2 linked regions of the Tribolium castaneum genome follow. The protein of the gene in region 2 purifies or fractionates together with the protein of the main gene of each other region. This does not show direct contact. Links are inferred from orthologs where the notes say so. Each region holds a gene or a part of one and is shown on either strand. Other genes may lie near its edges.

What was found.
Region 1: the proteins of WD repeat-containing protein 20 (region 2) and Fbw5 purify together in Homo sapiens (co-immunoprecipitation; 3 studies listed by BioGRID and IntAct, counting the BioPlex papers as one, with this or other methods). This does not show direct contact. The link is inferred for Tribolium castaneum from reciprocal best matches to the Homo sapiens genes WDR20 and FBXW5.

What each region holds. Positions count from the first base shown.
Region 1 is NC_087398.1:9,096,642-9,107,630, forward strand, and holds Fbw5 (F-box/WD repeat-containing protein 5), read right to left. Parts: upstream 5,867-10,989; 5' UTR 5,767-5,866; coding exon 5,586-5,766; intron 5,537-5,585; coding exon 5,382-5,536; intron 5,257-5,381; coding exon 5,079-5,256; intron 5,027-5,078; coding exon 4,637-5,026; intron 4,379-4,636; coding exon 4,118-4,378; intron 3,183-4,117; coding exon 2,738-3,182; intron 2,690-2,737; coding exon 2,410-2,689; 3' UTR 2,258-2,409; downstream 1-2,257. Other genes in the region: uncharacterized protein LOC100141846, read left to right, coding at 1,830-1,944, 1,989-2,188; basement membrane-specific heparan sulfate proteoglycan core protein, read right to left, coding at 7,344-7,383, 8,096-8,459, 8,510-8,710, 8,767-8,903, 9,543-9,799, 9,846-10,399, 10,943-10,989. UniProt on the Homo sapiens protein: Substrate recognition component of both SCF (SKP1-CUL1-F-box protein) and DCX (DDB1-CUL4-X-box) E3 ubiquitin-protein ligase complexes.
Region 2 is NC_087396.1:10,862,864-10,873,852, reverse strand, and holds WD repeat-containing protein 20, read right to left. Parts: upstream 6,102-10,989; 5' UTR 5,655-6,101; coding exon 4,296-5,654; 3' UTR 4,072-4,295; downstream 1-4,071. Other genes in the region: arrestin domain-containing protein 5-like, read left to right, coding at 1-392; DppIII (dipeptidyl peptidase 3), read left to right, coding at 956-1,289, 1,333-1,626, 1,678-2,203, 2,659-2,807, 2,856-3,224, 3,277-3,714; UDP-glycosyltransferase UGT5, read right to left, coding at 6,684-6,981, 7,036-7,255, 7,303-7,525, 7,575-8,167, 8,216-8,444; Csp18 (chemosensory protein 18 precursor), read left to right, coding at 9,506-9,683, 9,776-9,972. UniProt on the Homo sapiens protein: Regulator of deubiquitinating complexes. Activates deubiquitinating activity of complexes containing USP12. Anchors at the base of the ubiquitin-contacting loop of USP12 and remotely modulates the catalytic center of the enzyme.

The sequences.
Region 1 (10,989 bases), on a different chromosome or scaffold from region 2:
ATTGGTATTGGTTTATTTTTGTATTTACTTTTATAATAAACTATTTCGCACTTGTATGTTATTATTTTGCGACTTATTTACAGGACCATGAATTGCCAACTCTTAAGTTAAAGTTGACAAAGCCCAAAAACGATAAAAAAGTTAAGTGGACGAATGAGACCGTGGATAATGAAAACTTGAATAAAAAGAAATCAAAATGTAAGTAGCCGTTTGTGAATTACGTATGCGAAATTAAGATTTTTTCGTTGACTAGGTTGCTGTATTTACGAGAAACCTAGGAATTTCGATGAGAGCAGTTCTGAGGAAGATTCAGATGATGAGTGTGAGCACTGTAAGGGTCATGTGGAGAAGAAGAAGAAAAAGAAACAATCGGGGGAAGAACATCCTATTAATTGTGAACACTAAGACTGCATTTGTGGGTTATTAATGTATTCCAATATCAAATTAAAATGGGATGAAAGTCTCTCAAACGGTGGGGGATTGGTAGTGTTTATAGACAAATGTGATAAAAGCAATGTATTATCGATATCATAGAGAAAAAATATTGTGATCATGTTTTTGTCTTTACTAATTCATTTTTACCAAAATCATAACTTCAATGTTACTGTTTACTTATCAAGTGGCTTGCCATCGTCCTGTTAATAAACTCAACTCAGTGTTTTTGTATTTGTATTTCCAATGCAAAGGCTTCTAATCACTTCACTATTGTGTGTTCAAATAGACCTGCGTTTATTTATTTTTTATGTTAATTCTTTACACATACTTATTTTGTAGCTGCAATTTAACATTTCCATTTTTATAAATACTTGAGTTTCCATTGAAGCAATATTTTGTGGCTAATATGTGACGTGTTAACAGTACAAACCCGTAAATAATAAGAAGGTTAAACTAATTCACATGATTTGTTACACGCCATTTTTAAATTGTAATAAATCATTTTTGTTTTTGTATTTTATTTTTCAATCCGTTCAAGTTTATTCTCATCGCTAAAACTGTATTGTTTTTTTTTTATAATTAAGTGCAATTGTAATTAAATGGTTAATCTTTTTTTTAACTTCCGATGTGCGTTTGCGGGCAGCTGCGGTTTTTTCAGATGGACAAATTTTTCCGTTAGATTTTGCAAAAAGGACAAAAATTATAAACTTTGGTCGCAAATTTTATTTTGTGCTATTTTAGACCATTCACCAAGTTTTTGTACGAAGAACTAAATTAGGTATTCACGCTTTTTAACATGTATTTTTAAAGCAGACGCGCAATTATGTTGCTAAATTTTATCCAAAATAACTACAAATTAGGTTGAAAATGCAGACTTGTGAGGTAAAGGTATGTATTTCTGTTGTTTTTTTTTTCGAAACCTGATAATAAATCGCTAATTAAATGACGTTATTTTCCTATTTTTTTATTATTTATTTATGGTGTTACGCTACGGCATGTCTCACTAAAGCGTAACACGCTTTATAAGGCATATCATATGGAGTCTTAAAAACAAGAATTTCAGGAAAGCATTACCAGAAACTTTCCTGAGTAAAAATATTTCTCCTTAATAAAAAAAATTAATAATTGTAATTGAACAGATAATTGATTATAGTTTTTCATTTACTTGAATTATTTATTTATTTATTTAATTGTTAATCGACTAAACATGCTATTCGGTGGCCATCATACGTCATATCATAGAGTACTGTAGCAACGTTTTCTTTGTACACAATAAAATTTTACAACAGACAATGGTGTTTTTCCTGAGCGATTGGGGTAATCATGATAAAAATTTAATGGTGTACAAAGAAAACGTTGCAAGAGTAAATAGTGATAATTTCAAGCTCTTGCAGGATCATGAAGTGCCTACACTTAAGCTGAGGCTAACTAAACCCAAGAGTGACAGAAAAGTGGAGTGGACAACTGAAACAGTAGACAACGAACATATGAATAAAAAGAAATCAAAATGTAGGTGTTTGTTCGTGTTATCGTGTAAAGTTTCAGTTTTGTAGGTTGTTGTATATATAAAAAACCGCGAAATTTTGATGAAAGCAGTTCGGAGGAAGGATCTGATGACGAGTGTGAGCACTGTAAAGGTCATGTGGAAAAAAAGAAGAAGAGGCATCAAACTCAAGATGATAGTAACACAGATGGTAATAAGGGCTCTGATGAAAGTATATTAAATAATAACAACGAATCTCACGAGGTGTGAAAACATTAAAGTATTACAATATTTATGACCAATATTTAGGACTTTATGAAAAATAAATAAGGCAATATATATTTTTTTATTTTCATATATTCAAGATTATGTTAGTCATAAAAACATTCCTTCATATTTGGACGGATAAACTAATAAGTTAAAAGTACAATCAAACGACTCGAAAAACTGGATTATGTTCACACGAAGACACAATTATTGCCACCACAACCTCATATCCTCCTTATGCCGGCGTTGCATCTTAACTTATCTTTCGTTCGACTTCGTCTAAACTCCACACCTTTTGGAAACTGCGTTTCGCTCAATTTCAGTTCTCTCACTTTGGCCCTTGACCTCCACACCTTAATGATGTGATCATCTGACGTAGTAACCAACATTTCCGGGTCTTTGGGATTAAATGCTACGGAATTAACCACATCCGAATGCGGGAACTTAACTAAACACATGCCGTAGTGTCGATCCCACAAGTACCCATGCTTATCTTCAGCGCCACTGAAAACACTTGCATGCAAACCTGAAAATGTTCATAAGCCCTCTCACCTCGCCACATACTGGTTGCAAACGTCCAAAAATATAAAAAAGCACTCGCTGTTGGAAGTGTACGCCTTGTGCGCTCGTAGCATAGTACCGACTTGTTTCAAAGTCACTAAGTCAATAACGTGGATGTCGATTTCTTGTGCAATCGGGGGCGGATCCAAGGGATTCGATATTTTGTACCCTTCAGGCCAGGATCTGCTGTTGACGTAGAGGTATCTGTGGTCAGGACTGAGGCCCATTCCGACGATATGGCCATGTAAATCAATCACATGGTCGACTTTGTCAAATTTATCGGCCACTGAGTCGAAATCTAGCCAGTTTGGCTCGGGGGGCGGCGAACCGGATTTTAAAAGCTCGCGTTTGCGTTCACGCAGAATTATGCGTTCTTTCAACGAGGGGCCCGGGTCCAAGCGTTTAGGGAAAGCGAACGGTTTTATCCGTTTAAAGCCTGAAAATAGGTTGGTTTTCGTTCAAGGAAATTTCCTGATACGGGATAATACTAATCATTTTTTAAAATTTAAAACGATAAATATAACAAACACAGGTAAATCTAAATTAATGATTTAAAAAAGATGATTTTGGATCACAATCGCATTTTTGTTCCTTCGCGTTTTAAATACATATTAGACAAGTTTATAATTTTTCGCCGATTGTTAACAAAATAATTTCTTCTTTTTTAAGGTTTTGATTGATTACGTGGTACTTATCTAATTATATTCTATCTATTTATTCCCCATTCTGTCACTTTCTCACAAAATTTGTCACTAAAGTACTGTTGTAACTACGGACGACTATAAATTCTGTACAGCTTTCTTCCTAGCATTTTTCTTGCATCTGTAACCGTATTCGCAGCGTTTTAAAAAATATGGGATAGAGTACAGATTGGTAAAAGTTTTAATTTTTTTTAAACATAGTTTACGACAAATGTTTGCATTATGTTTACGTCTTACTGTTGAGAATTTAATGCTCTATCTGCCTGATTTTTTTTTGTTTGCTAGGTAGGTGTTAACCATTTTTACAAAGTCATTGCTCTGAAAACTTAGACAGTGATAGAACAACTGGGCCCTCTGCCGACATTAGTGGAACTATCGAGGACGGGAACGTTTTATTTGTACGTCGTTTCGTATCCTAATCTTTAAATAGCCGTAGTTGTAACACAAAACGAAGTAAAGAAAAGGATAGACAAAAATAAGCTCATTAATTGATAAGATGTTTTAAAATGAAAGTGTTGTGTTGTTTCGGCGATTTCGTACGTCTTTTTAATTTTTTAGTTGAATTATTATTCTCGTTATGCTTTACGAATAGTTTGAAAACTGAAAAGCAAACAACTTTACTTTGTCGTAATTGTTTTTTGTTTTAATGTCTTTTTATTTTATTACGTACCTATCTGATGAGGTGTGTATGTTTTAAAGCCCGTTGTAAAAATTAAATATTTATCGTTTTGAGTGAGTTGATCTGAGTCTTCTTCAGAACCTTCATCATCACAATCATCCTTGCCAGTGTCATCATCTTCCGTTTCTTCCTCAGACTCATCTATTAGCATATTCTCAGATTCAACTTTGCGATAATCTGAATTATACCAAATCGGATTTCCTAAGTCTGAGCCACTTGCAGTTTTTTTGGCATCAAAAGAAATAGCACTGCCTAAAATATTCAAATTTACTTAAACTTGCAACAATTACGGAGGACTAAAAAGTTAGGAGGCGACTCATTTCTGTTAGTTCTACATTGCATTGTTTTTTGCAATTGTATTTGCCCATCAAGTTTTAAAAAATATAGATCGGGGTTTCTCAGCTTGTTAAGAATTTAATTTTCTTTTTTTTTTCTTTTCAAACAAAGGGTTATTTTGAGTCTTTTTCCCTCCTTGTTGTTAGTCCTACGTTTCGCGTTTTAAATTATTACCAGAAGAACTGTGTGTGCAGGGAACCGCATTTATGTCTCTATGGCTTACAGGGTTCCCGTGCTCAAATGTGCTGTTTTTATTTTCAGACGGTCCGACCTCAACTTCGGTTTCTTTGGTCTCTGTCGCAAGTTCAGAATTTGGAAGACAGTTGGCGATCATTATCGCTCTAATTGAACTTGCATTTCTGTTATAAAACCGAAACATGTTATGAGTTATCGGGACATGCTCTGATTCAGCCTCTTGTGATGCTTTATTTAACCATAACGAGGACGTACTAACTAAATGTGCTAACCAATGTAAGTCACCTGAGAGTAAGTGTTGGTCACTGTACCAAGTGCCATAAATATCATATGGCTTATTGACGACTCGACATTGCAACTCAAACCCAGCTAAAAACAACGTAATTGGCACACTTGAGTCTGTTGCAACGTAATTTATTACCGAGTAAATTAAATACTGCAATTTCGCCTGAAGTACTATGTGGTGTACCAAAATGAACTCCTGATACAAGAAGCAGAGTGTCAGATTCATTAAACTGTGAATATTGTGTGTATTTCCAGGAAAAACTGTTCATATCTCGTGAATATTTTATTTCAACTGGATATGTGGAGTTCCATAGCTTCAATAAGAAAAGTTAAGAGTGGACGACATGGTCAAAGTGGCCTGTGGCCAATTTTCAGTCACAGGCGCCTTTGATCGTGAATTTAATAGAAAGCGCTGTATAGCTCTAAATGAGATTTTTACCAGGACATAGCCATCCTTTGAGCATGTGGCAAAGTATTTGCCGTTGTGTGAAAAACTGACATGAAGGACTTGATGTCGATGATCGTGTAATGTCTCTGTTTGGACCACTGGAACATTGTAAGATAGTCTTTTGAATTCCTCATACCAAGTTCTTTCTGCAAGCGATTAAATTATTGATAAGCCGTATTATGTTTCTTGTTTTACCAGAAACTATCGGTACAGATTTATCGACAAGAAAGTTCTCAAAGAACAAGTCTTTCCAGAGAAAATCATCTCGACTAACCTCACACCAGTTATGACAAACTTCACTTACACGCACTAATTCTTTATAATTCAAGTACTGGAAGATTTTGTATAAAGCAGGATAGGGTAAAAAAGCCCACATAATCCTCCTCTTTGTTTTATTATTTGTTTTTTGTGATTGTGTTATTTATTTACTGTCGACATTGACAGAGGCTAACGTCAAAAACAGCTGATTTGTGTCTGAGGTTCCAAATAAATAATAAACGATTAAACAGTATTTTTTATAAATACTAAATCATTTATACAGTAACATGCTTTTTTGGGAGAGCTCCATTTTGTCCGAAGTTTTTTTATCCAAAGCAAAATAAGCATCCGCATTTTTATCCACCGAAAAAAAGTCCATAGAATCACTCTATGTAGATAGGATTCCGCCCTTACCGACATCAGTTCTAAACTACAGCGCCACATAACAAATTGTGATGGAACTGAATCTATTAGCGGGTTATTCAAGTACGCCTTTAAAGCATCCTTTGTACTATGAAATTTGTACGTTTTGTTATTTTGAAATGGGATATATATCTCAGTTCTTAGTAGAATTTTGCAACAGCGCATTTGTATTTTTCGGAGTGAATATTGGTTTTTATTATTACTTCTTAATACGTACCTATTATAATCACTGATTAGTGATTATTGAGCGGCAGAACCAGTGGCAGTGAGAAGTGAGACTTCCCCTTGAATTACAGATACAGCACTTTTGCGAAGGAGATAATAAAAATGCGTCAGTTTTACATACATTTATTCAATAATTATTGTCTTCAGTTATTGAAAATGCACTTATAACAAATAGTTAATTACAAACAATACGTGTTATTAGAAGGCATTTATTTATTCAACGAGATTCAACACGCTCAAGATGGGAGAGCTTTAAATGCCATCCAATAAACGAATTTCACGGTTATTTCTTAGAATTTAGGCAATTTATACAATTGATTTATTATATATATAATTTCTCCACATAATTAGTGTTTTTCTTTTTAGTCTATAGAGAAAGAAAAAATTTAAAGCACTTATAAAACATGTTTAGCCTATATAACTATATATAATTATATTTTATTGTTAATCACCATTGCTGATACGTTTTTGTTTCGTTTTGTAAAATCACATTGTATACATTTTCATTTGAAAAAGTAAAACTGACTGGTACAATTAATCAAAACATGAAAATGTAAGCAACATATGGACAAAGAAAGCACAGAAGAGTATAACTTGTATCAACAAAGCCTTTATTCATAATAATTTGTTAATAGCACCATTAAAAATTAAAAGACTACACTAAAAGTCGAAAGATGATTTTTTCATAAATTACATATTGGACCTTATTTTTATGTACCCTTTTAAGTATACATTGCTCTTCAACAGTTATTTTCTTACTAAACTATCCCTAAAATGGCACAATTTTTTAAAGATAAAATCATATAAAAAAGATTATAGTATATGTATAAAAAAAGAATCGACCAGAAAAATGGCAGTTAAAAGAATAGAAAGTTATTCCATTGGGGGAATAAAATAAGGTTGGCAAAATGCTAATTTACTGTGCTTTTAACCAATTAACATTTTGCTGTTTGTAATGATCTTGAATAAAATAAAATGAACACAAATAAGTGAACACTTGTTGGACAACTAAATCGACTGCCCTTAACTTAAAACTAGTAGTCGTTCTCAATTCACGAGGTCATTTTCGTCATATAGGTCATCGAAGCTGAAACAGAAGTACAAATTAGTAACAGAAAATAAATGTATGCAGGATCTGACTTGTTTAAAATTGATATCTTCTTACCTAAATATGTACAATCCACTAGAGGTTGCAATAATTGGATAAAAAAGCGTCAGTCTATATCATGTAATTAACGGTAATAAAATATTTACCTTCAAATTGCTTATTTATGTACAATTTTTAACATTTCTACAATTCGACCTAGTCAACATAATCTTTTGGAATAGATATAATTGGACTTGTTTTGATATGTTATAATTTTAGAACAAACTTATGTTTCGTTATTAGTCTATTGTCTAGCACATGAAGTTATTGCGATTATTTACGTAATAAAATGCATCAGTTCATTTAGTCAAATGTCTGTCAGCAGTATTTGTATGCAGCAAAGGTATATGACGTGATAGAAATTAAGACAGGGACGTTGATGCGACATACTGGAGGGCTTTGGATGGATTATGTTAACAGGAGGGGGCTCAACAATTTCATCAAACTGATCCGAATCAGCAAAAATCAACGAGGACGGAATCCACCGTATTCTTCAATAAGCAGCGTGTAAAGTTTTCAATTAGTCAAAAAAATCACCGCATTTCCATGCATTTACGGACACATGCTGGTAATTTATTTATTTAAATTTATGTTTGAGTGTGTGTCCGATGGTGCATAGAACTCGACCTAGATACAAGTTTAAATTACTCACCTAGAGCATGGTTTAACATTAACTCCCGAGATCGCTCTTATTCCCAAATCAAGTGTTTTCAAATTTTGTAGCTCGAAAGCGTGAACGCATCCGTCAAAGCCATGGCTAAACCTCCTTCCAGTCATGAGTCCGATATTCGGGGCTCCCCCCAGGTATATGTTTCCAGCGCATGACAACGTGTTTGTAAAACCGGGGGATTCACCCGTTTGGGTGTACGCATTGTCGATTTCTATAGAACCAACGCGACCTCTGCGTTTCAAAATGGCACTGTGTCTTTGCCCATCATCTACTCTCTTCTGCGTGTTTCTGATTATCGCAGGACCTGAGCCTAGGTCGTAACTGAACTCCAAGTATCCGTTTACAACTGCAAATAAACATGTGTTAATTTGGCAATTGATGCAAAAAATAACGAACCTCCGAGAGAAATATAATTTTTCCCTTGGCCATCTTCGTTGGGCGTTTGTCCGTGCCAAAAGACCAGACCGTCGCTCGAATTTGTGGACAATTCCACTGCTATTAGTTCGTCTTCGTTCTCTTTGATGTGATCGAGGAGATCGCGGTCGAATTCCAGGTAGCCTTTGCCGTTAAAATGTGCGTCGTTTCTTAATTCAACACCTACGAACAAATCAGTCAATATACTCCCAGTTATTATTAAATTTTGGTTTACTTACGGAGTTCACAATTTTTTCCAGAGAAGAGAAGTGGGCAACTGCACTCGTATCCTGTTGCGTTTCCACTGCATGTGCCTCCATTCTGACATGGTATTTTTTGCTCGCAGATATTCATTTCAATTTCGCAGTCTTTACCACTGTAAAAAAATGGGATTTTTTTATGTTTTGAATTGTTGCATGTGCACAAAGTGTATTTTTTTCTGCATCATCATATTAAATATTTCGCTAAAACGTAAACTGCTTTGTCCAAAATTATTTGCTTAAGAAATTAATTTCAGGGAATGGACCTTGTATATTTTCAGTAGATACATAAAAAAACGTTAAATGATAAAGTCGTTACAAAAATCAATGATTCAGACAAATATCTTTGTTTCCCGCCTCGCACCTAGTTATCTCACAGATTATATTTTTTATTAGTGACGTTTTATCGTTATTCTTACACAATTATTGTGCCGTTTAATTTTATTCAGTTTGTTACTTGTTGTTGTCGCGAACGGACGCCTCAAATAAAATCAGAATTTTGAGGTTTAAAAGTTTCAAATTCGTTGAATAGTGCGTGTTAATGCGGCGAGTGTGTGATAGGAGGTATCGATACTAACTATTGTTGGTTTCGAGGTATGTAGAGATGTAGAATGTGTGTTATTATATTATTAACATCTTGTTCTAATTTTCGTTTTGATATATTTTTAATATCTTGCTACAAACTGTAGCGGAAGAAAGTCAATGAGGTCTTTTAAAATTAAGAAGATACGTTTAAATAAAAAGTGGTAGTTTACCTGAATCCACTCAAACAATTACAGTTGTAATCCATTGGTGACAGGGGGTAGCACTGCCCACCATTCTTGCAGGGGTTGCTCGAACACCCGGTCCTTCTGCTATTATACGGTTGCGAAGTTGTTGGTGTATTTTCATGAACGTATTCAAATCCACCGACATTGTTATCGACCTCGTTATCCAAACTACTGCACTCCATAACATTTGCAGAATCTTCAGCAGAATTTATAACATCCAAATCCAAGCCAGACATCTTAATCTGAAAATACAATTTCACACAACTGGCGTAAAATAACCGCACTAACCTCCGAAATACAGCCGTTGAAGCCCGAATGCACCCCAACCTTATCGTTAATCTTAATATTTTCGCTGTCATAACCGCCAACATACAGCCGCGTTAGCAAATTCAGCGTTTTGTGGTTGCCTGGTGTCGTTCCGAAGGTCGTTTCCCCATCGACGATAAGTCGTCCCTCGCTTAAGCTCCTTGTCGCTGTCAGGACATGCCACTCCCCAGGTCTCACCTCTTTCTCGCTGCGGATGGTCACAGGGCGTCCTCCCACGTTGAAGTTGAATTCAATGTGACGGTCTTTGATGGCTAAACTGACGAAATCGCCATGCCCTTCGTCTGTTTCAGCACAGTACAGTAGTATTCCGTCGCGGTTGTCCGTCGGTTTGATTTTCAGAGCGGCTTTGAAACGCCTTTGCAGCTTCGGTACCGGGTATGCGATGTAAGCACCGTTGCTGAAGGCCGGCTCATTTACGGAAATTTCTCGCTCACAACGCCGGCCTGCACGGCCCATGGGGCACAGGCAGTCGAAGCCGCTGTCGTTGTCCAGGCATCGGCCGGTTCCGCAAGTGTCTAAAGTTAAACTCAGTCCATATAACTGATTTTTACAAGTTTGAACGCAAGATTTTTTCGGAAAATGCTTTACCAGTCTTTGAAGTTCTATTATGAGAATAATTTTGATCTTAACTCTCCGTTATTAGAGTCCCCAAGGGCACAGAAATAGCAAGTGAACTGTTAAATTTTTTGAAAGCTGAGTTGATTATATTATTGTGAATTGCTAATTGAGATTGACCTTCTTAAGGAAATGTCCGGACATCCATTCGTAATCAAATTACATCATAATGTAGCAATGTTTCTTTGTACACCATTAAATTTTATTTATGATTACCCCAAACTTCAAGGACCGTTCAAGTTAATCACTTAGGCAAGCCCTTTGTGTGATCGGTATCGTAAATATTTTCGGGTAACCCTTGTCGAAACATCTTATCTTAAACACAATTATCTGTTGTAAAACTTTTTGGTGTACAAAGAACGTTGCTACAATAAAAATGTATGTAAATTTTTTGCAATGCTTTTCTTGCAAAAATTTGACTGCTTGTTACTGAAAAAACTTACAAGGTGAGCAGGCTTCCCCTTTTAGCTTTTCGCAGTTGGGCCCGCTG
Region 2 (10,989 bases):
TGCCCGGCGACGTTGTTGATGTTAAAATTTACGTGAGGAATGAGTCTAATCAGACTGTAAAGAATTTAAAAGTTAAATTTTTGAAACGAGTCAAGTTTAAATCGGTCAATCCCAAAAACAAAAGTAAGAGACATGTCGAAACGATACTGAAGTTCAAAAAGGAAGGTATCGGTGCTTATAAAGAACACACCTATGATTTGAGATTAAATTTCCCGAAAGTCTTGGATATACCGAATTTGTTTTCCTGTACTCTGATTAAACTAGAGTTTTCGCTGAAAATATGGTGCCAAATGCCCCCCTTTATTCGAAATTTCGCCATTGAAATCCATCCAGAAATGGGACACTTTTTCAGTGGGTGCGTAAGCCAGTTCCGTTTTAAATTAGTGAAATAATTATTTAATAAACTAATTCGTTTTTGCTTTAAGCAGTACCGATTATTATTAAACACCCATTTTTTTAGTCGGTATATATTAATCAATAATTCAAATGATCACATTGGTCCATAAAAAAATTAAAAATTCTAAATTAAACAAATATGGAAATTGCAATTTAAGTAATGATTCAATTAATAATTAAATTAATTACAATTTCTGGTGGTAAGGTGTTATATAGGCAACCAACAATAAGGTGCGACAGTAGCGGTTGCATATGCTATTGAAAGTTTTATAAATACAAAAAATGCAGCTTTTGATGCGATTGGCTACATCTTATCAGTATTTTTAAACATTTGCGGCTCCACCAATCACATCTCTACATTTTTAAATCAGAACACCCACAATACAAGTCATCCACACCTAACCTTTCCAAACCTGTAATTGTGCCCTGTTGTCTCGTCAAAAGTGTGAATTATCAAACAATTATCTTGTTATCTGTCCTAGTTTTTGTTGATTGTTGAAAGTATGCGACACTTATTCTGATTTTGTAGTTTTAACAACACAAATTGATTTACTTTCAGAATGAGTTCTGAACTTGATAAATCCCAACACATCCTGCCCTTAGACCAACCTATTGTGACCCTAGAAGTTGCCTCAGCATTTAAGGGACTGACTGACACGGAGAAGAGATACGCTCATCACATAAGTCAAGCGTCCTGGACCGGGGGCCTAATAACTTTCTTACAAACAAGCCCAGAATCTGGACCAATTTTTGTCCTTTTGCATAAACTATTCTCAGGTCTTAAGCCTCAGGATTTCAAAAAAGTAGCCCTTCAGGCTGGGTTTAGCGAAGATGAAGCCAAGGCGTTCCTGGTTTACGCGTGTGGAATTTTCAGTAACGCTGGGAATTATAAGGTGATGAAACCATTTGTTGCTTGTTTTCAATGTGATGATTTAGGGGTTTGGGGACTCAAAATTCGTCCCGGGGATAGCACAGGACAGGCTTGAGTCGCTCCTTGCGGCTACTCCTGTTTGGCCCAAAATTAAAGAATTGTGGGCGAAGGTGAAGAACGCTATGTATGACCTTAGCCCTGGTAAGACATGCCTAGGGTATGCCCCCCATGGGTGCACCACCTACTTGTCGAAAAACTGCACGCCTGAGGACAATCAAAGGGTGCAAGACTGGATGAAGACCCAGAATATTGAAGGCTACAACACGCGTTTGTTCAAAACTGTGCTCCCGGATGGGAAGGTAATTAAAACAGTCAAAAAAACTGTAGGTTTTTGTTAATAAAAATCATAGATTGATTACGAAATTCGGTTGGCTTCGAAAGAAACCGGCGAAATCTCGAAAGAAACCTACGGGAACATGACGTTTCGCCTAACTAAAGGCGACTATTCGCCGATTATTGGAAAAGTCGCCGAAAGTCTGGAGGAAGCGTCAAAATACGCTGCCAATCCCACTCAGGCCAAAATGTTAAAAGCTTACGCCCAGTCGTTTCTTACGGGTTCTTTGGACCTTCACAAAGATGGGTCTCGGCACTGGATTAAGGACAAGGGCCCAGCTGTGGAAACCTACATTGGCTTCATAGAAACCTACAGAGATCCGGCCGGAATTAGGGGCGAATTTGAAGGGTTTGTCGCGATCGTGAATCGCGCAATGTCGGCCAAATTCACAACTTTGGTCTCCAAAGCTGAGGAGTTTTTGCCCTTGTTGCCGTGGCCTAAAGGGTTCGAAAAAGACAAGTTTTTGAGGCCCGATTTTACCTCGCTTGATGTGCTCACGTTTGCGTCCAGCGGAATACCGGCCGGGATTAACATTCCCAACTGTGAGTGTTTTACTGTCCCATGCGGCTATCAAATAATTTTTTAACATTTTGCACAGTTAATATTACCATATTTTTTAAATATTTATTAAATGCAACACCTTTCAGCTTATTTAATGATTATGGAGAGAAAAAAAATGTATAAAAAAGTATTACACAGCGAAAACGTTTTGAAATCTGGCCAAGTTTCTTCAAAAATAATTTGCTTTGTGAGCGGTGGGGTTTAGCGAAATCTGACAAAAATAATGACCTTTTAACTGAAATAATACGCGTATGTCGTATCTCTCGCAGCAAAGATTGTAACCAGAAGAAGAAATTGAAACTTTGTCTATGTTTATTTATTAAAACAACTTCATTTAGTTGCTCAATATTTTCAAATATAAACCATTTATCATTTTACGTCGATATAATAGACATTATTACTCATTTAAATGCAACTGGTATTTTTTGTTATTCAGACGACGATATCCGGCAAAGCGAGGGTTTCAAGAACGTCTCTTTAGGAAACGTCATACCAGCCAGTTATCAAATGTCTGTGATTCCATTCTTGAACGAGTCTGATACACAATTGATCCAAAAATATCGCGTTGCTTCCTTCGAATTACAGGTAATGCCCTATTACCAACGTTAAAAAAAATAAATTGGAAATATTTAGGTGGGCCTTCACGAATTGCTAGGTCACGGTTCCGGCAAAATATTTTATCGTGCCGCCGATGGAACGTTCAATTACCCAAACACACTGTTGGACCCCTTGACGGGGAAACCCCCATCCACGTACTACGAGCCTGGGGACACCTACGATTCGCGTTTTGGCCCAATGAGCTCTTCATACGAGGAATGCCGAGCTGAAGCGGTTGGCTTATATTTAAGTCTGGAACCGGCAGTGTTGCAAATTTTCGGCCACAAAGGCCAAGAAGCCGAGGATGTCCTCTATGTGAATTGGTTGTCTTTGGTTTGGAACGGCATTGGCCGGGCTTTGGAAACGTGGGATCCGAAGCGAGGATGGCTCCAAGCCCACTCCCAGGTGATTTAAATTTAATTTCAAGCGGGAAAATTGCTCAAATAATGTTTTTTAGGCCCGATTCGTGCTGGCGCGTGTTCTGATTCAAGCCGGTGTTGCGAGTGTCACACAGCCCAGTGACGGCGATCTTTTGGTCACTCTAGACCGTGCTGCGTTGAAAGGCGCCGGTCGGAGTGCCATCGCTCATTTTCTGCTCCAGTTGCAAGTTTACAAAGCAACGGCGAATATCGAAGCAGCTCAGAATTTGTACCAACATTATTCCGAAGTGTGTGAGCCGTGGTTGAGCTGGCGCGCGATTGTTTTGGCCAACAAGCAACCAAGGAAGATTTTTGCGCAGGCTAATACTGTGTTGAGTTCGAACGTCGAATTGAAAACGTATGGGGAAACCCCGGAAGGGATGATCCAGTCGTGGACTGAACGGTTCCCGAATCCCGAGCCCTTGTATCAGGCTTTGATAGATTTAAGTGCCTCTAATGAGCACTATTTTATTTAATTTTTAATAACGATTAATTATTAGATTATATACGATGCTTTATAAACAATAAAATGATTCTTTGCACTTTGGGAATTTTATTCAACCAACCTACCCCATCCCTGACGGCTAGTAATAATAATGATGCTTCAAATTTTTTCTCCCGTTTGTCGTGAAACTAAAATTTTCGTCAGTTTTCTCAGCTTATTAAGAATTTGATGCTCAACGTTACGGCCATTTTTTGCAGTTAGTAAATTTAAATCAGTTTAGAGCCGAGATAATTTAACGCTTGAAGCGCCTTCAATTGCCTTTTGATACAAAAAAGCGAGTTATTTTGTAAGGATTTTATTTGGAAAAAGGGTTAAAATGAAATACAAGTTTCAAAATATCTTCATATATTTACGAATGATAAAATTACGAAAAATCACACCAATTATGCAACAGATTCTACATCCATCAATTACACTTACATGCTATCAGGTGAAAAAATGCAACCAAGCGTTTGCTATTTTACACTTTGGTTCCACAGTTTTATCCACCTGTTATTGCCCCTACTATGTATAAAAGTTGAATAAAAATCTAATTAGAAAAATACGACATATTCAGGAAGGGGGCCTTGCCCATGTATACACATAACCGTCTTGGCACGCCGTAATGATACAATCAGGTCGAAAAACCAAAGCAGTCAACCTTTCATGAGCAATTTTTTTACAAACTAAAGGTTCCAACACCGGACACTCGTCCAGCCTGGGACAGGCCGGTGTCCCCACCAGCTGCAAAGGATCCGACCTTCTCTTAACCTTCGGTTTCGAAGGAGTCGTCAACGCGTCTTCGGGCAGCTCCCAAAGACACAACTGCGTGTCGTGCCCCACTGACCCCAGCCTGTAGCACGACTCCGCCTCCAGGAACCAATCAAACGCCACGGCGGCCACCCACGAGCGGTGCCCCTGCGCCCTCCCGACGACCCGCTTCTGCTCCATGGAGTAAACAGTGACCAAATCGTCTTCGCCCCCCACTGCAATCAGGCGCCCGTCGCCAGACCACGCCACGCAGAGCAGCCCCCCGAAGTACGAGCGGGCGGTGCCCAGCAGCTCCATACTGTCGTACTGGAACACCCGCAACTGCCCATCTTGCGACACTATGGCCAGTTGGGCCCCACTGGGGCTGAACGCCAGCTCGTTAATGGCGCTTCCGGTGCCCAGAAGCCACCGGAAAAGAGGGTTCCGGGTCGATTTCGTCTTGCAAGTGCTCACACTGAAGCCCTCCCCCACTTTGAACGGCTGATAATGGGGGGCTGCCGAGCCACACGGGAGCTCCTCATTGTACACATACAACTGGCCTGAGGCGTGCGCTGCTAGGAACAACGACCGGCTTCCCGGCACCCACCTTAAACATGTAACCCTCGTTTTGTCAATAAGCCGCTCCTCGTTGAACAATTTGTTCAATTCTTTCTTAATCGGGTCAATTAGCTGGATCTGACCCGTGCTGAAGCCGATCAAGAGACTGACGCTCTCGCCCGAAGCTGACGCGATGTTAAAATCGTGACACGTCGGGTTCGTCCCTTTGTACACCTTCTTCTCCAAGGGCTTGCTCAAATCGGCCGCTTTCTTGATCCCTTTGTACACGTAAACGTACAGCTCCCGCCCATGGTTGAAGCAAATTCTCTCCCCCTGGTCCGGAAGCGTGACAAGGGAGACACGCACCTGGGGCGGCGTTTGCCCCTGAGTCTGATAACCGACTCGGTTAGGCCTCGAGTATTCGCTGAGGGTCATGAGACGGTAGGTGCCTTCGCGAGTCACGAACTGGGTCTTCACGTCGCCGGGCTCGCCCCCGAGCGGGCGTTCGAGGGGGCGGTCGCCCGCTTCCAGAAGCGACTGACTACATAAAGTGTCTGCTCTTGCCATTTTCGGGGCCAAAATACGCGAAGACATTCTATGACGAATTCTACAATTTACACACATTTAGGAGCCGAGGTGAAGACGTTGCAGCATTGCAGCGGTGGCTCGGGCGGTTTTATCACATTTTTGCTGGTAGTAAGGCTAATTCACTACTTTTTCGTCTATTTGTGGCAATTAGACATGGAAAATGAGGTTAGGAAATAAATAATATTTGAAAAGCAGAGACGCCAATAGCGGGCAAGGAATATCCCCGCCAGGAGAGCGAGCGGTTTTTTTAAACTGATTATTCATTATTTCCGTTTGGGAATAAAACACTGTAGGGCAACTATTTAGGATAAAATGCAGGTATTCCTATAAGGATGGTAAAATAAGAGTATTAAAATCTATGGACTGCCATTATTCTTACTATTACGGTCTTGTCAAAGCATATTTTTATTTTAACTACTCTACTCTACTATGTATTTTATCAATATTTCTTATGCATTTGGTATTGTTGAACTGATTGTTTTATTTAGTTATTGATAACTACTGTCTGGGCAAATAACACATGACCGCTGTTGATGTAACACGTATCTGATGAATTATTTATAACAATATGCTGAATCAATAAAAATTAAAAAATAATTAGATTGGGCAGCATAGTTTGACTTAATAATTCCAGTCTTAATTTGTGTTTACAATATATTTTTACAATAAAACTTGATTATTATCTTGGAGGTTACCACACGCTCGAAACATATAATTTTGGGAACAAAATAATTTTTTGCCGCGTCTAAACTCTAAACACAAACATTTAATTACAATAATACATACTATAATTTAATGCTTACAATTTTACAACTCTATATACAAGGCAAGTCTGCATTTTTACCGCATTTTTTCTTATTTTAGGCATTGTTTGTTAATAAATTTACGTAAGAAATTTTTTTTTCAAAGATTTAACAGGCATTATATTAATCTATTAATTTTAATTATGAAGAAATGAGCAAAGATTCTGAAAAAATTCACATGCATGCATAGGGAAAAAATTAAGTATTTAATAGCAATAAACCATAAAAAAGTACCTATTTTTATTGGAAGTTGCAACAACATTTATTGTATTTTTTTCTTAATGTCCAACTCCTTTGCAATACCTTTTCTTCTGATGCATTTATAAATAAGATATGTGGCACAGTAAACAGTGAGTAAGATTAACACAAGTGAAAGCAGAGACACAAATACTAAATCTAAATTAGCAGATTCGACGAAATTCATGTTTCTTGTAGCTAGATTGAAGTGTTCTGCAGTCTTAAATTTTAAAATGTATTCGATCCAAAATATTGCGACGTCTAAAGGTTTGTTCATTTGATGTTTGTACAACGCGGACCACTTTTTTGCGTTTTCCATATAACTAAAATTGTTAATTTCACATTTTCCTTGCTACAACTACAATTAACAAACTTACGTATTGTTGTTTAACACTTTTTGAATGACTTTAAATAAATTGTGTTCTGTGATTTCAAAAAAACTTAATTTTTCGCCGACACCTTTTGCAATAAACGTGTCAACATTTTGTAACTGGTCCAAAAAGAACGGAATTCCGATTACTGGAACCCCATTATACATGATTTCGTGTGAACTTAACAAACCGCCATGTGATATAAAAAGAATTGTATTGGGATGACCTAAAATTAGTAATTAAAATAATTAAAAGAAATATAGAAAAAAACACCGAGAATATCGTTCTGTGGCACCCATTTCCGAATATGCACATTTGCTGGAATTCCCTCTAGTTTATCGTTTTCAAATTTCCATATTACGGTTTGTTTGAGTTTTGAGAAAGTATTGATAATTGCCTGAATTCGTTCGGGGCCTAATTCCTTGGACCGTACATTGGAGCCAAGTGAAAATAAAATAGCACCAAATTTCGCATTATCCAGAATTTCTTTTAAATCCTGAAAGACTTTGATAAAATCAGAATTTCCAAAAAAACATGTACCATACATCAGGTAATCGCTTCGGTTGGATGTGTAAACCACCAACTGGAATCATATTCGGGGGCAAAGCTTCAACGTAGTTAAAAACAGGGTTGTAATTGATTAACATTAAGCTCATATTTTTCTCAATTTCTAAAATACTCGACTTCATCGGACCAAAATAATCATAAGCCAATTCTTGCTGACGGGGAATGTAATGTGTGAGCCTTGACACTTCAAGCAGTAACATAAAGAAAAAACTTTTTAATTTTTGCCAGAGATTTATTTGGGCCCCGAAAGAGTGTGTCATAAATGGGATGTAACTTTGCCAAATATTTCTAAACAAGTTTGGCTGGTTTATGAAAGGATTCACTCCTATTATTGGAGGGTTCCCGAATTTTTCTATGAGGGGATATAAGCAGTGTCCATAGTTAACGTCCACAATAATCAAATCAAATTTGAAATCGTTTGGATAATTAGTTATTTGTCGTAAACCCTTTGTTTTTTGGTCTAGAAGACACGTTACTTCGGCAAATGACCACAAATTTTTAATTGTTTCCCAATCGGACATATCTTTCATTGCCATTAAATCAAACTGATCTCTTACTTTCTCATAAGCTCCTACAAAATTTTGCCAAGTGGACTATCGACAAAATAAAATGAACTCACCTTCCATGACAATGTATGTGTAGTTGGGATGATTATGTTTGTCCTTATCGTGTCCCAACAGTGTAACATTGTGTCCCCTCTTCGCCAATTCAAATAAATAAACATCATTGAAAAGGTGATGGCTCGGGGAAAGAAGTGTATTAATGGCTAAGATATTCGCACCAAACACATTTTGTGCCAATGATGTAAAAATAAATAATGAAAACAACCTTTGTGCTTTTAATGACATTATTTCGTGTGGTCGGAGTCGGATTTACAACTGACACATAGGATAAAAGCGTGTTGTTTTAAGATTTATATTATAATAATAGTACTAGTTTAATTATATCTTCATGCTGCGATAACGTGTTAATAATCGTAAAAACATTACACGAAATTATTGTCCGTGAGTTGTTGAGTATAAGAATACCTCACATACACTCATAGCATGATGTCTAGAATAAGGCAAATAGATAGATAAAAAAATTAAATTATCACTTTAGAACTAAAATTTTATGGAACAAATACTTAAAAAATGAGGGTTTTATTGTTGAATTCATTCTTAGTGAGCAACAATTAAAAAAATAAGCAAGCACTAATTAATTTTTTTCTTTGTTTGTGGGTCTGTTGCATCTCCTCAAGGACTCAGTCCAAATAAAATATTTTTAGTCTTTGGCGTTTGTTAAGAGTAGCATAATTTGCATAATTAATTTGAAATTATTATGAACTTTTTATGAGTTTACTATTTTACATTTTTGCATTAGGAGTACGTATTTCTACAAAACAGTGGTGACGCAAAATTTAACAATTTTCTGATTCAACTTTTCAGTTTATTTTTACTGGCTTGTAAACAAAAACAAGTAGCACAAAAAATGGTTAAATTGAATCTAATTTTATTATGAAAAAACCTAATTTTTCTTGTAATTAGGTAGGGACGTGAAACCGACATGTGTTGTTTAATACTTTAATTTTTAGGCAAAAACTTGTTAATTGTTAGGAATTAGACAATTAGACCAGGTGTAAAATTCAAGGATGGTTCAACACACGTAAATTAATTTTTCACCTCATTTCTTTCTATACTTTCTTTGAAAAACGTATTAAAGAGTTCAAAGAGTATATCGTCGACAAAATCGATTACAACCTAATAATGTGTTATAGGGTAATTAAAATTTGCGTCACCACACTTGTCGACAAGTCCAAGATTTGTTTTGATGAAGTTAAAAAACCTGTTCCCTGGTATATCCTAGCAATGATCTCTATATAAATAAGGTTCCAAATTCAAATGAATTTATTAGACGTAAAGCAGCCAAAATGCTTTTTACTGTGTTTCTAGTTCTTACATGTGCTCATGTTGTTTTTCTGGAAGAGTATGTGATTCCTGATAACATCGATATTGATGATATTCTCAGTAACGAACGTTTGCTGAAAAATTATGTAAATTGCCTATTGGATAAAGGAAGATGTACGCCAGAAGGGAAAAAGCTTAAAAGTGAGTACACATTTACTAATAATTATCTGCATAAAGTTTAAAAAAATTGCAATTATTTAAAAAAACAACAAACAAAAATTAATTCGTTTTAGGTACAATACCAGAGGCTCTTAGTACAGATTGTGCAAAATGTAACGAAAAAGTGAAAGCAAATGTCAGAAAGGTTTTGCACCACCTTATAGATAATAAACCTGATATGTGGAAGCAGTTAGAAGCTAAATATGATCCTTCTGGAGAATACAGATCCAAATACAAAGATGAACTAGAGAAAAATGGGATTCATGTCTAATGTACTCGTACCTTCTGTAGATGTAAATATGTTGTGCGGACTGTTTAATAAAGCAACGTTTTTATGAACACAGCATTAGGTACTTATTTCTTTTGTTGTCCTTAGTATACCTATACTGCTGCATCAGTAGAAAAGTTACTCTAACTTTTCAATAAATACCTCCCAATTATTATTATACTCATAACTGACTTAATTTGCATAGAATAGAATTTAGACATAAACATAATATAAAAACATAAAGAAAATTAGTCGTTATACCAGTTTTTAGCTTGCGATGTCTAAATAGTGACCTTGTGATTTAATTATACTAAAATAGCCTCGAAAATAACGAATTCTATAAAAAAACTGTTTCAATCATCTTGGGGATGTTGGTATTTTAATATTATATTCCACAATATCATCTGCATTTTGTAAAAAATGATAATACTTTCCAAATGGTAATAATTTTTTCCTGAAAAATACAAAACCATTACAACTGTAATGGTAATTATTCTTCATGCTGTAACAGGTTTTCTTTATATTTCGTAGTATTTCCAACTTTTTTTGAACAGTTTACAACTTTTTTTATGTTTTTGATAAATGAAAATGTAGATTTTCCGAACTACTCAAGTGATAATTATGTTAGGAATTTCTTAAAACCATTTTATGTTGTTTTCTATATTTTATTTTATTTTGGATAGGCTCCCCAGTTTTGAACTTTCATTGTACAATAAAAATTATTGTAAGTGTTTTTGATTGTAATTTGAGCGTATTTCCAAATCTATCAACAACAGATGAATGAATGACTAAGCTATACAGTGAGTACTACAAGTACAAGTACTAGTACAAATAGGTAAGTACGCTTAAAAATCACAGAATACTTCGGTCCCATAAGTCGTTAGTCTTCAGTCAATGAGATAGTTTAATGCCCTCTTACGCTTGTCTTGAAGAGATGGAAAAAATATTTAGTTAATAGAAATAACACAGACAAATCTTTAATCGGTGGTAATACTAACTTGCAATAATTTATTGGCACCG